Linked DNA regions of Oryzias latipes. The protein of the gene in region 1 purifies or fractionates together with the protein of each later gene. This does not show direct contact. Links are inferred from orthologs where the notes say so. Each region holds a gene or a part of one and is shown in the gene's direction. Other genes may lie near its edges. The genes, in order: p53-induced death domain-containing protein 1, death domain-containing protein CRADD-like and ripk1.

What was found.
Region 2: the proteins of p53-induced death domain-containing protein 1 (region 1) and death domain-containing protein CRADD-like purify together in Homo sapiens (affinity purification with western blotting; 8 studies listed by BioGRID and IntAct, with this or other methods). This does not show direct contact. The link is inferred for Oryzias latipes from reciprocal best matches to the Homo sapiens genes PIDD1 and CRADD.
Region 3: the proteins of p53-induced death domain-containing protein 1 (region 1) and ripk1 purify together in Homo sapiens (affinity purification with western blotting; 3 studies listed by BioGRID and IntAct, with this or other methods). This does not show direct contact. The link is inferred for Oryzias latipes from reciprocal best matches to the Homo sapiens genes PIDD1 and RIPK1.

The regions. Positions count from the first base shown.
Region 1 is NC_019864.2:15,844,093-15,848,669, forward strand, and holds the start of p53-induced death domain-containing protein 1, read left to right. Parts: upstream 1-1,665; 5' UTR 1,666-2,167; coding exon 2,168-2,813; intron 2,814-2,889; coding exon 2,890-3,303; intron 3,304-3,381; coding exon 3,382-3,534; intron 3,535-3,627; coding exon 3,628-3,679; intron 3,680-3,762; coding exon 3,763-3,964; intron 3,965-4,577. UniProt on the Homo sapiens protein: Component of the DNA damage/stress response pathway that functions downstream of p53/TP53 and can either promote cell survival or apoptosis.
Region 2 is NC_019881.2:23,808,927-23,813,462, reverse strand, and holds the start of death domain-containing protein CRADD-like, read left to right. Parts: upstream 1-1,245; 5' UTR 1,246-1,421; coding exon 1,422-1,719; intron 1,720-4,536. UniProt on the Homo sapiens protein: Adapter protein that associates with PIDD1 and the caspase CASP2 to form the PIDDosome, a complex that activates CASP2 and triggers apoptosis.
Region 3 is NC_019875.2:26,472,290-26,476,912, reverse strand, and holds the start of ripk1 (receptor-interacting serine/threonine-protein kinase 1), read left to right. Parts: upstream 1-1,336; 5' UTR 1,337-1,438; exon of another isoform or gene 1,439-1,686; 5' UTR 1,687-1,749; coding exon 1,750-1,910; intron 1,911-3,646; coding exon 3,647-3,803; intron 3,804-4,457; coding exon 4,458-4,595; intron 4,596-4,623. UniProt on the Homo sapiens protein: Serine-threonine kinase which is a key regulator of TNF-mediated apoptosis, necroptosis and inflammatory pathways.

The DNA.
Region 1 (4,577 bases):
TGCATATAGGCAGAAATCCAACAATCACATCAAATAAAACCAACAAAAAACCCCAAAGCTGTTTCACAAAAAATACTTTCATACTTTCACATCTATGCTATACACATATAGAATAGACGTTAGAATAATAAATATGATAAATCACAACATTTGTTTCTCATTTTTAGTGAGGTGTTGCCACACAAATCACCTTATTGGTTCACACTAAGGTAATAAAAAAGACAAAAATATATATATATATATTTTAAACGTAGCAAACCCTTAGATTAGTTTATTTTGGATATTTAACAAATGGAATGATGAGGGTTAAAAACATGTCTGCAATTTTTTTTAGAAAAAGGTGATTTTCTGTCTTTTGGACAAATTCAAGATATATTTAGAATATCACACCAAGATTTTTTAGGTTTTCTCCAGAACTTTGTTCGGACCTCTCTTTCTTTCCCAGGTAACCAACCAATCCTACACCCAGTAGAATTCTTTCTTCTCAACTTGAATAAAAATGCCTCCTCCAAGAAGAAATTCCTTTCTCTCTGCTCTGCTATGGCATCGAACCCTCTCACAAGTGAGAAATCTGGGTATCGTTGGGAGGCAGATTTGGGGATTGAACTTGATGTTGAAACTTGGTCAAATGCTTTTGTGTGTACAAAAAAAACATTTACATGTAACAAACTCAGGGAAAACCAATACTGAATTTTACACAAGACCCAATATACTCCACAGGTTTTAGGATTCAACCACAACGCTCATCTCTCTGTATAAAGTGTAAAAACACTGTAGGAACTTGCTATCACTGTGTTTGGCAGTGTCAGTTGATCTCCAGATTTTGGCAAACTGTTGCTACAGGGATCCGCTCAATTTTTTCGTAAATCTTTTGCCCTGGACCCTACTTTGTTTCTTTTAGGCCAGTCAGGAAGGTTGCCTGTGTTACCTGGAAGTATGAGGTTGATCCAAAAACCTTTACACCTGCCTAGGAGATGTATACTGCTACAATGGATACAAGTGAAACCTCCATCCGTTACTCAATGGAAAGTTTGTCCGATGGAACGACTCAGTGCCCGGTTAAAGGGTAACTCCGACATTTTTCTACAAGACGTGGCAGCCTTATCTGGATCACCTCGAGAAATAGCTGATATACTTTGTTAAAGGAGGCTCACATTTTGTATTTCAAAGTAATAAGTGTTTTAAGAAAATATCTCAACATGTTATTCTAACCTAGATTTTGTGTGAACCTTTAACTAGTTAGATATCTGCTGTGCTGTGCTGGTTTGTGTTGTGTTCTTTTCTTACAAAGATAACAAAGTACAATTTAAAAAAAAAGATTAAAAAAATTACAGATGATATTTGAATATAACTTAAACCAGATCAAACCTACTGTTAGAGGAGGGCAGAAATAATTTATCCAGATTAGGTAAAGGATGGTTACTGACACTTATTTATCTAGAAAATAGACATGACACACTCTATTTACCAGGTTCTTAAATGATTAGACCAAAATATACATTTAGTTTCATATATAGAGGGACATTTGTATTAATTTAGATAATAAAACTTTTATTTAAAAAAAAAACAAGGCCTCACATTTTAAACAGTGATGACATTATTGTCACACAGCTAACATTTGTAACCAACAACGCCATCTAGTGTCCGTGTTGAGACAATGCCGCACACGTTTTCAAGTTGACAATGATGTCCCGCCCAGCGTTGAAACTTTGGCGGTGCCTTCACCGTGACGCTTGTTTTTGTTAGACACTGAACAAAAAGAGGGGCGGGACTTTCTCTCCACGCCATTTGTGTCGTGTGCAAACACCCGCCCCTCGCCAACCGGTAGACGCAGGAAATCTAAACGAACCTATAACTGTGACGTAATACCTCTACTTCAAAATCACTTGTTTCATCCGGAAGCTGTGTTTTTCGCTAGCTATGTAACTTTTTCGACAGTTGGTAAGCAAAAGAAAGAATGTAGCATGAAATAAAATGTAGTTCTAGTGTTGGCTTTAAAAAAAAGGCACATTCATTCCGTGGCTGGCTGAAAACGTATGTCGGTAACGGTTACCAGTTATCTTTGTTGCCACAGATTTGACATCTTTTCATCTGACGCACTAATGTAAACTTGAAAAGGACTTGTCAGTCGGCTTATTACTGTTGTCAAAATGTGTGAACTGTATTGATGGAGAGAGGCGGCGAAGGAGACCAAAGTTCTGATGAAGAAGAAGGTGGGGTCCAGGCGGCTGCTCAAAACACGCAACAGAATGAGTTGGAAGATGGAGAGAAGGTTGCTGCACCGGCAGCCAACCCGTTAAGTACACCAACCGAAGCTCAAAGGGAGCGGGGAACACTTTCAAACGGGGCTCAGGAGAATTGTGAGGAGGCTGGAGTCAGTATGTCACGTGATTTGATGCTTAAAAGCCAAGCAGGAGCTTTTGATCCAGAAAACTATGACAAAAGTGCATCTCCCTCAAGCCTTTTGGGTACTTGTGATCCATCCATATCAAACTCTTCATCCACCTCTTGCTCCTTCAGCCATCACGATATGGTGCTTTCATGTTCCTCCTCATCCTCCCATTCTTCTGGCTTGTCTCTGAGTCCACCATTGCCCTCCACCGTGGAGCTCTCGGCTGTGTTGACTGACACGAGACTGACCCTGGATGTGTACCCCGGGGGAGCAGGTGCATTGCCATTGCTATGGGGGTCCATTCCAGCCGAGCTGAGGGGCATCCAGTACCTGAGGCTTGGTTCTGAGGACAGATCCGGGCTGGACGGTGCCCTGAATGTGCTGTCAAACCTGACAGAGCTGCGCTCACTTGCTATCCGGGGTAATATTTCAAAGTATATTTGACATATCTGCAACGTTGTATTCGTTCTCCGCTGACCTGCCTTATTTTCTTTAAGGACACCGTCTGTATGACTCAAAGGGGACGCCTCTGCCTGGCCTCCTCACCACTTTGCCATCATCTGTGTCTTCTCTCACACACCTGGTGCACCTGGACCTCTCCTTCAATCAGCTGTCCTGTCTGCCGCCCTGCCTGCTGAGCCTGCCTCTGCTCTCCTCACTGCTGCTTTGTCACAACTTCATCTCGGCGTTGCCTCCTGAGATATGCCAGCTGTCCTCTCTAACCTACCTCTCCCTCCTGGGGAACATGTTGGAGTCCCTTCCTCCAAGTTTAAGTCAACTGAAGACACTGCAGGAACTTGACGTGTCGCACAACCTCCTGCAAAAACTACCTGAAGAAACCGGTGGTCTGAGTGAGCTTGTAAAGCTGGACTTGTCCCACAACAAACTAAAGCAGCTTCCAGAGAGCATGGGTAAGGGTTTAAGGGTGAGCAACATTTTTAATGATCTAAACCAACGTGAAGATATAATGTTCCTCTGTCCTCTTGCAGGATCTCTCTGTTCTCTCAGGGAACTTGTTATATACAGCAATCACCTCCGTATGGTTCCATCGTGTCTAAACAAACTGCCTCAGCTTAAAATAGATGCACGAGACAATCCTTTGGGAAAACCTCCAACACCTCCTCCTCTCCCTCCTACACTGGGTACAGATTGAAAGAAATCACACGGATTTTTCTCAAATAATTATCTGCTTCACACATTTATCAGCAGAACATTTGTTTAATTCCTTTAAACAGGTCGATCAGTGACAGAAATGCCTGAGTTGCACCTTGGATTTAATCAGCACAGGTACAGCGGGATAGTAACATTAAGAGCCATCTGATCATGTAATGCATTTGTGTCTATACTAAAGATTTGTCTATGTTCCATAGTTTTTGGGTTACTCCTGCTGGGTGTCATGTATTTCTTCCCGGGGGGGCTGAGCTGGTGTTCCCCTGCCGTTGCCTGCTGACAACTACTAGACTGAGCTGGGCGGAAAAGAGGCCAAACAGGAAGTGGGTGTGGCTGGAGGAACACGACCTCCTACTAAGTCGTCCACTGGAACTTCGTCCCCACGGTGTTGAATTTCTGAAGGTATAAATATGATATTCTTAGTTAAATGTATTTATTAAATGTAAACAACAATATTCAACCCAAACTAAATATGGTAAATGGTCTATACTTGTAAAGCGCATTTCTACCTTAGTCGAAAGCCCAAAACGCTTTACACTCTAAGTTCCATTCATGCACTCTACTGCCAAACACTGGCCCCAGGTTTCCACCAGAGGCAAGGTGGGGTTTAGTGTCTAACCAAAGGACACTTCGACACATGGCGGGAATTGAACCTGCAATCTTCTGATCAGAGGTCGACCGTCCTACCTACGGTGCACCACGGCCGCCTGGCAGTGCCCTCCCCCAAAAAAACCTGCTTTGGCAATGTCAACATCACGGAATATAACTTTATTTTCAAAAATAGTTTAAATCTGTAAATTTAAGATAATTAGATATATTCATTTAAAATTAATGAAATGAGCAATATGCATATGATTATTTGAAAAGAAAACACATTTGCTGCCTTTTACCAGTGACAAGCATGTATTTGGCTGCACGGTGGATCAGTGGTTAGCGCCCTTGTCGTCGTCAAGTCCTTTCTGTGTGGAGTATGCTTGGTCTCCCTGTGCATGTGTGGGTTTTCTCTGGGGACTCT
Region 2 (4,536 bases), on another chromosome or scaffold:
GTTCTGCAGGGTTCATCCTGGAACCAAGATGGATCATATTGGATGTAAAGCAGGATCATCTGTTATTAGTTGTTATTTTTGTGGTCAATGTGAAAACAAGCAAAGTAATATTAACAGATTATTGTTACGACCCTGCTGGTGCTGTCTGTGCCCCATCCACCCACGCCCCGGACAGTCTCAGGGGGGAAGAGTTAGGCAGAGAATCAAAGTCTCCTTTTCAGCATCAACGTCCATCTATTCGAACACACACAAACAGCATGGAAGGGGCTTGTGTTCCCAGCATTCTCACTCATGGTTTTCACAACAAGATTCCCCACTTCCTATGAGTCTTGGGGGCAGAAGGCGGGGCTTTCCCTCAGGTCGCTACATTATATTCACAGATTATATTTACAGCACTACGCAGGTTTTTATCCAAAAACATAAAGATTTATATCTGATCAAGGAGGAAAACTCGACTTATCTCCAAATGATCGTTTGGGTAGATTTGAATAAAGAGCTCAACTTTTCCTTTTTGACGTCACTATGACGTCATTTTAATCAAATGACCGTTTTGCAATTGTTCAATAAAAAATAAATATATAAAAATAAATAAATAAATCTAAATTGGAATTGTTGAATGCGGACATTTCTGTTCTACAACTTCAGTTCCGGTGTAGGTACCGGATGTTCTCGGGTTGCCGGATGTTCTCGGGGTCCTTCAGGGTCCTTCCAATGAGTTATATCACTAGAGGAGACATCACGTGGTTCCTCATGGGAGGAGAGCACCGCCATCTTGGTGAGGTCAAGTTTTGAAGCCCAAACCACTTTTATAACATTTAATAAAGAGCTCTGTTTTTGCTTTCAATCACTTCATTATATGAAAAAGAAGAATGGCTTGAAATTGCTTAGTTTTGTTCAGAAATACAAACTTCACGAGTACCCCTAACTTAACTAGTATTAGACTACTTAGATTTTTTCTATGTTCCTTTATTTTATTTTACTTATGTTTTTATTTATTTGTGTGTTATGTTCATTGTTTCTTTTTTCCCCTCTATTCTTTATTTTCTATGTTAATATGTTATGTTTGGCAATGGTGACTGATCTTCGAGGCAATATTGATTACATCGTTATTGTTCGTTGTTAACGTTAATGTCATTGTTAATGTATGATACCGCAATTGTCAATAAAGTTTTTAAAAAACTTAGCGACGTTAACTCATTGGTCGTGGCAACTTACAGCCAATCAAATAGTGTGACGTCATCATTGGTCGAAGGACCCCGAAGGACCCCGAGAACATCCGGCAACCCGAGAACATCCGGTACCCACACCGGTTTTGTTGTTTCCAGTCGGGCACAATAACATGGACGGACAATGACTAACTGGACCGGTTAGTTGGAGCTGGCCGCAGCGACGGACCCAGCACGGGTGTGGTTCGGGTTCGGATGGATCCCGCGCACAAAGCTGTGCTCCGGAAGCTCCGCGCGGAACTCTGCAGCCAGTTGATGGTCAGCGAATCCATAGTTCCGGTTCTGTTTCAGGAGGGCGTGCTGACCCATGCGCACGTAGAGGACATCGAATCGGAACCGACCGACACGAGAAAGAGCCAGAAGCTGCTGGACATCCTCCCGAACCGCGGGCCGCGAGCTTTCCCCGCCTTCATGCAGTCTTTGGCGGACTTCAGCTGGATCCGGGACCGGCTGGTGCACGAGCTGAGGACCGAACCGGAACCAAGAGCCGCAGGTGCGAGTGGAGTACACTTGGGAGCGGTGTGGTACCATAACCAGGGAGGAAGAGGAGGATGAGTTTAGAGCACCACTACTGTTCAGTGGTGTGATGATGACGTCAGAGAAATGGTGACAGTCAGCAGGTTTCATGATGCAAATCTGTTCGGTTTCAATCATTTCATGTCATAAAAATGAGAATCTCTGCGGCTCAAACTTAGACATATGAAAGTCCAATAAATGAAGATGGAAAAACATTTAATTGAATTGGAGTAAAATGACATTCAGTTAGATAAATATGGAAATTTGAGTTGTAAAAAAATATTGAGTTGTTACCAATTGAAATAATTAATTTAAGTTGGATAATTTTATAATTTATATACATATATATATATATATATATATATATATATATATATATATATATATATATATGTATATATATATATATATATATATATATATATGTATATATATATATATGTATTTATGCGTCAAAAGGAAAATGGAAATGAGATCAGAAACTCGTGCGTTTACTTTGTCTGTTCTACTCCAAGCAGAAACTCTTTCTTTGCTGATGATGCAGCCGTGTTACTTTTTTGATGGTCGTATAATCTTCATACGCCGTCATTTAAATCTCCGACTCCGTCTCACTGAAGTATAGCGCTCTCTTTGGTTCTCCACGCGTTTCCATGGTGACTCCAGAAATATGTGATCTATTGAAAATGTCTTCATGTACCTGGGGCCTGTTTCAGAAAGGAGGTTCAACCAACTCTGAGGTTAAACCTGAACTCTGAGTTGGTCAATCGAGAGATTAACAACTCTGAGTTTTCTGTTTCAGAGAAGCTGATCGGAGTTAGATCAATCAATTCTGAGTGGACTAATTCAGAGTTAAGCGTGCGCACCGCGACTATAAGAAGCCATTATCAATGGAGCGCAGATATTACGAGTCACCATGGCAACCGTGAAAAAAAGAGGTCTGCGTATTTTTCTCCAGCTGAACTTGACGTGCTGCTGCAGAGTTACAGTGAATATGAGCACATGTTCCAGAAGAAAAGCAACACCGCTGCATCTGCAAAACAGAGACAGTTAGCGTGGAAAACATAGCTGCTCAAGTTTATGCCTAAGTTTGCATTTAAATCATTGTTATAAAATATTGGCTGTAATAACTTTTTAAATAGCGTAAGGTGTGAAATAAAAAATGGTGATATTTAGGTTTACTTTTGAAGTGTTATTCCTGGTGTAATTGCATGAAATGCTGCATAGTGTACAGAACCAATCTGGGGGAAAAATGCATTTAACGTCAGTAATGTTTAGAGGACTTTTTTGTTAACCTTCCCCTCTTGCAAACGTTGGTCAGTTTAATATTAATACATGCAATTGTGTTTTTAAAAGTGACCTTTTGTCTACCCTTGTATTGATCAAGTGGTTTATATGGGATTAAGAAAGTAAGCAGTGCTAGCAAATTGTGTTTCCATAAAGTAATTGGTACATTAATGTAATTCAATGTCCCTGATTTCATTTTCATGTAGATTCAATCCTGCAGGAATTAAAAGAACATGGCAGCAGTTAAAAATGAAGTATAAAAACATAATTCAATCAGGTCAAAGTTGAGCATGTCATGGATGTAGGCATGTTGACAATATTTGACATATGAAACATCTACATAGCAATATCTAATGTTGTTTTCATTGTATATATGTAATTGACTGCAACGAAAAACGGTAACGCTCAAACAAAAACGTCTGGGGAAATGACAAAACATCGAGTCTTCTCAAAATCCTCGCACGACGTTAATGTAATTCTCTAGGAATTAATGCAGCCTCCTCGTCTATTGGGTCCTCCAGAAAAGGACAAGCCATTCTTGTCACTTAGACCGTCTCTGTGTGACGGAAATGTGGGCAATGAAGGTTAAAGTGAAAAATACCGCTTCGTCTTTAAAAAGGGGAGGGGACCGGCAGAAACCTTGAGTTTAGAGAATAAAACCTGCTCCCGACCAGGTTAGGTTCACAGCATAAGTAACCATGGACACTGACTCCGAGTATAAGTTACCTCTCTTTCAGAAACGGGTTTGACTTACTCTGATTACTCTGGTTTAACAAACCTCCCATTCTGAAACGGAAAACCCAGGGTTTCCCTGATTTCAGGGTTAACATACTCAGAGTTTACACTAAACCTCCTTTCTGAAACAGGCCCCTGCTGTGCACGTGCGTTAACCCAGGGTTACCAAGTGGAGCGTGATTACGCCAACTCATATCCGGTCTTTTGTAACCGACATACCCAGAGTAAGCAAGTTCAGGCGGATTTCAGCCAGAGTTCAGGCTTAAAGTCAGGCTAGTTTAAACATGCTTCCTGGAATACCCCCCCGTTCGGGGTCATGGGACTAGTGCTGACGTCACATGACGTGTCAGACAGTGATTGGTCTGTAAATGACCATACTACCAAATGTGACGGTGTGGCAGCGTCAGCTGGCGGTGCTTTCCACCCTGTTATTTATTTTATGTTTTAATGTCTAAGACTGACTCCTGCTATGTTACCTGGGAGGTAATGAAGGGCAACGCCCAATAGGAGGGGCTTATCATTCAAAAGGGAGCATCACAGGAAGTGAAAAGGGAGAGTTGGAGGGTGTCATGTGCTGATGTGGCCCCGCGTGGAGCGGTTTAGTGATGGCTTCTTGTAATAAAGAACACATAAAATAACTAACAGGGTGGAAAGCACCGCCAGCTGACGCTGCCACACCGTCACACCATAGAAGAAGAAATCCAGCGGTCCGTTGTAAACAAGCGGAGCGCCGACACAGAGCGAGATTATCTTCTAAACTTTTATTATTGTTAGG
Region 3 (4,623 bases), on another chromosome or scaffold:
TCTCCAAAAAATGATCTTACTCCTCTGATGGATTAATTCCTGATCCTAGATCAGATGGGTAGATCAGATCCTAGATCACAAGATGATGGGTAGCCATCATCTTCAACATTCTTCTTCTATTTTTCAATCACACTTGTGGAACCTTTTTGACTCATTTCCATCTCTGTTCTTGAACAGCTTAACCTGCTGCACACCTATCCATCTCTGTTTTTGTTTTTGCCACGCAAGGCTGTACAGATCCACCTCCTTTTCCCTCTAAGAATACCTTGGACCACTTCATGCATCTTCCTCATGACTTTTTTCTTCTCCTCCAGCGTACATCCTACCTGTAAAGTCTAACCACAAAACAGTCAATTTTACACTTTCAACCTTCAGACTCCACTTGACTCTCTTCACCTCCTCCTTCCTCCGTCCATCTACATCATAATAAAACAGCTTGGACCTGTTCCACGTGTATAATTTTGCTTCCTTTCCCTCTGGTCTCTTGAACACACAGAATATCCACTGTTCTTCTTTCGATCATGTCCGCCAACTCTCTAGTTTTCTATGTCAAAGTCTCTGCATCCAAAGTTCCCACTCAGTCCTTCATTCCCGCCTTCCCTTTTCTTTCTCTGCCCACAAACATGACCGAAATGTGTCCAGTTTCCACATGTAGGTCAACAGCATCGGTGGTGGTGGTTGTTAACTCAGGTCACAACCAAACCAACAAAAGTTCTGTTTACATGTTTGGTTGGGTTTTGTTCATACAACAGATGCCCCTCCTTACACTGCATTTTACTTTGGCGTTTAATCACTGAATTGCGCCCCCTTGTGGTTGCATTTTTTTTTTCAAATTAGTTTGTGGATGTGTTAAGCTTTTATTTTAAATTGTTGTGTAAGACTTGTGTTCTTTTATAAAAAATAAAAAAAAACTGGCTTTCTGTGATTGTTTCAAAAAAATACCGTAAGTATTTTTTTTATTTGTTAATATTCTGTATTTGTGCAGCTGAGTTGCTACTGACCTTTTGATACAAAGTAAAAAATTCAAATCTAAAAATATATAGAATATTTGATTGAAATAATTTAAATCAGGATGCTGTGCACACTTGCACACTTAATTTAAGTGTTTACGTCTTAAACAGGCAGAGCCCAGATGTAGCTTTATCGCAAAATATTTACTTATACAAATCATGTTCTATATTTATTTATAAATTTAGTTCAATGCAGTCAAAGGTGCATTTTTTATGTCATTTTATTTTTATTTTATTTTTTATTGTCTCACGCTGATGTGATCAGCCTGTGAAATCTGAATCGACTATCTAACCTGGGTTCTTTCTCGGTAATCGACTTGTAAGGCTGCTTGTAGTTTTAACGGAATGTCGATAGTTTCACTTCAAGGAAATCCCGGAAGTCCGCGGAAGTGGCCGTCGTTTGAATTAAAGAACACCTGGAATAGAAGGTCACCTTTTAATTTTATTCTGTGGTGATGTCATTGAATGAGAAGTATGGCGGTTATAGTGTAGTTTCATTATTTCAAGTTTTTGCTGTCAAGAAAAGTTGTACTTGTTTACTTCCGGACGCCCCGAAACTTGAAGGCGCTCGCTTGTTTTGCCTCCTTTGGCTTTCGACGTGACCTGAAAGTTCCGGGAGGTTGAATTTGTGTCATTTCATGCTTAATTTCAACGTTTTGGTTTGTTTTCTACGAAGAGTGTTAGCCGGTCGTGTGTGTGGGAGCCTCGGCGTGTCCAGGTCTGTAAAGTTCTCGCAGGGATGGCCTCCGCGCCGCAAACCTCACTTCACATGAGGCCGACGGATCTGATTAAAAGAGAGCCGCTGGATTACGGAGGCTTCGGGGAAGTTTATCTGTGCTACCACGCGACCCTCGGCCAGGTGGTCCTGAAGACTTTATACACCGGTCCTCTGCGTAGCGAGTAAGTGTTGGCCTGATTGTCACCATGATCTGGGGGTTTCCCCCTGAACAGAATCCAGTTCTCAGGGATTCAGTTCTTTTATTGGAGCATCTGCATGTGAAAGGACATGACATGTGTGGTAAACAGTGGCAGATGTTCACATAACAATTAATATATATAATAATAATAATGACACTTTAACTACAGTGATTTTATTTCATTTAATCAGTGATTCTGAAATGTACCTCCAAAGAGCTGCCTTTACCAACAAGCAACTTTTATTTTGTTTGTTTGGGTTTTACAGTTAAAGTAATACATATAAGATCTCTATCTTCTGATCCTTTTGGCTTCTCCCCTCATGGGTCGCCACAGCCAGTCTAGGTTTAAACCAAGATCTTCATCTTTACTCAATCCATTAAAGGCCCACACCCATGAAAATAGCATTTGTGGCGTTTTTAACATGTTCCTGTTGTATTTTTTATCACGAAGGAGGACATGTATAAAGAAAATTAACATCAAAAATGCATTCTTTTATTTTTTTATCTAGATAGTTGTCAATCAGGTGTAGCAAAAAGCCGGGATAGGCTCCGGCAGCCCCGTGACCCCGAAAGGGACAAAGCGGTACAGAAAATGAATGAAAAAAGTGTAGCAAAAATAAATACATAGGTAAATAAAGCTATTGGAAAAAGCTTATAGGTGTGATGTAGAACCTACAACAGCAAGCCACAGGCTCCCTGCTCCGCTCTTTTGGATGAAGACAAATAGATCCATGTACGTCTTCCTTTTCCTCGTCTGAGCTGGAATCTGACTCAAAACGGGGCTGTAAGCTAGCGGGAGAATATGTAAGCACAGAGCTCTGTTATGGGTGACGGGAAGAGGGGCCGGGGCTGCACCAAACCTATAGTCCTGCTCACAACTCAGAGGTGAATTTTTAAGAACTACTGCTCCTCTGCAGAAACTATGTCCTAGAAAACGGTACATTTATCATGAAAAGACCACTGGGGACCCTTGGAGAATAGATCAAAAGATGACCAGACATCGACACTGAGCTTGTTTCTGGGTTTTATCCATGCTCATCAAAACAAACCTCAACATCTCCACCTCTGCGTCACGTCTTTATCTCTCTTTAAAGTCAGACCCCTCCTTAAAAAAAAAAAAAAACCTTCAAAAAAGAAAAAAAAGAACGTCGCTTTTATTAAAACTTCTGTAAATCAGAATCTGTTCTGCACTGAGAACTTCAACAACAAAATCAGGATTTCTGTGATAATTTTACTTTTCTGCAGTCATGTACTGTATAATCATAATCATTCTTAGTTTATGAGAAGAAACAAATTGGCTAACTGGTGCAGTGATTATCTTTTTATTTTCTGCTTTTTACTTATTTCAGTTTTTATTTGACCATTTATTTCTTATTTCATTGTTACGTTCATGCTGATGACAGAATACTTGGACAGTTTGTGTTAAAAAGCACTGAAGTGCATCATAGCGTTTCCATAACTTGTGAGTCTTAAACAGTGACATTTAATGTTAAAGGTTTGAGTGCGTAATCATTCTAAACAGCAGTAATGTTGCGCTTTCACTTGCAAACTGTGACTTAAAAAAATAAAAACAGGAAAACTGGAATAAGACTGAATCAGTTAAATTATGGTTTTGATCACTTATAATAATGAAGATTATTTTGGACCCTGCCGTTAAGACACAGGGGTGGGATGTTGTCTTTTCTTCATGCATCCTCTTTATAAATGGTCTTTTTCCAGAGAAAGTAAAAGGTCGCTGCTGGAGGAGGGGAGCATCATGGCAAGTCTGAACCATGAGCGTGTGGTCAAGCTGCTGGGTGTGGTCATGGAGGACAGGGACTGCTCTCTGGTTCTGGAACTTCTCCCTCGGGGCAACCTGTTAGTCATGCTGGAGACGGTACGTAGGCTTTTACATTTACTGTACAGCTGAAAAGTTGAAGCTAAATCATTAAAAAACTTGTGTCATTTTCTGGGACATAGTTTATGCATTAAAAATTCATCTGAGTTGTGGGCAGGACTGTTGGTGCGGAGCCACCCCGACACCTCTTCCCGTCACCCATAACTGAGAGCTTTCTGTTTACATGCTCTCCTGCTAGCTTACAGCCCAAAACACCCGCAACCCAACATGACTGGCGGAACAAAAAATGCTCCTGATTCACAGCGATTTGGAAAAGGAAATACTCAGAAGCGTAATTTTCTTCATGTGTCAACAACATGTTAAAAACACCAAACACACCATTTTTCATTATAGTCTGTCTTTAAATCAGACTCCAAATGACCCCAGTCTATATAGATGACTGTCTTCTGGCAAAAAAGGGCTATTGACGTGACGTTGATTGGCTAATGACGTGAAGGGAAGTATCCGATTGGTCAGATGTATAAACGGCTGAATTTGATCCTTCAACACTTCAAGCTGCCTTGAGATTATTTCATAATTGCATTTTCTGATATTGCAATAATGGCAAATGTTTGATTTATTGTGCAGGCTTAGTTTACTTAAATGATTCTGAAACCCAATAAACCTGGTTCACTCAGCGCTCCGTCTTCTTAGGTCAAGGTGCCCATTTCCATCAAAGGCAGAATCATCCTCGAGGTTCTGGAAGGGATGATATACCTTACAGAGAAACGTGTCATTCACAAGGACATCAAGCCAGAAAACATCTTAGTGGATAAGGATTTTCACATCAAGGTAATGAAAAAAACTTAAGTCATAATAA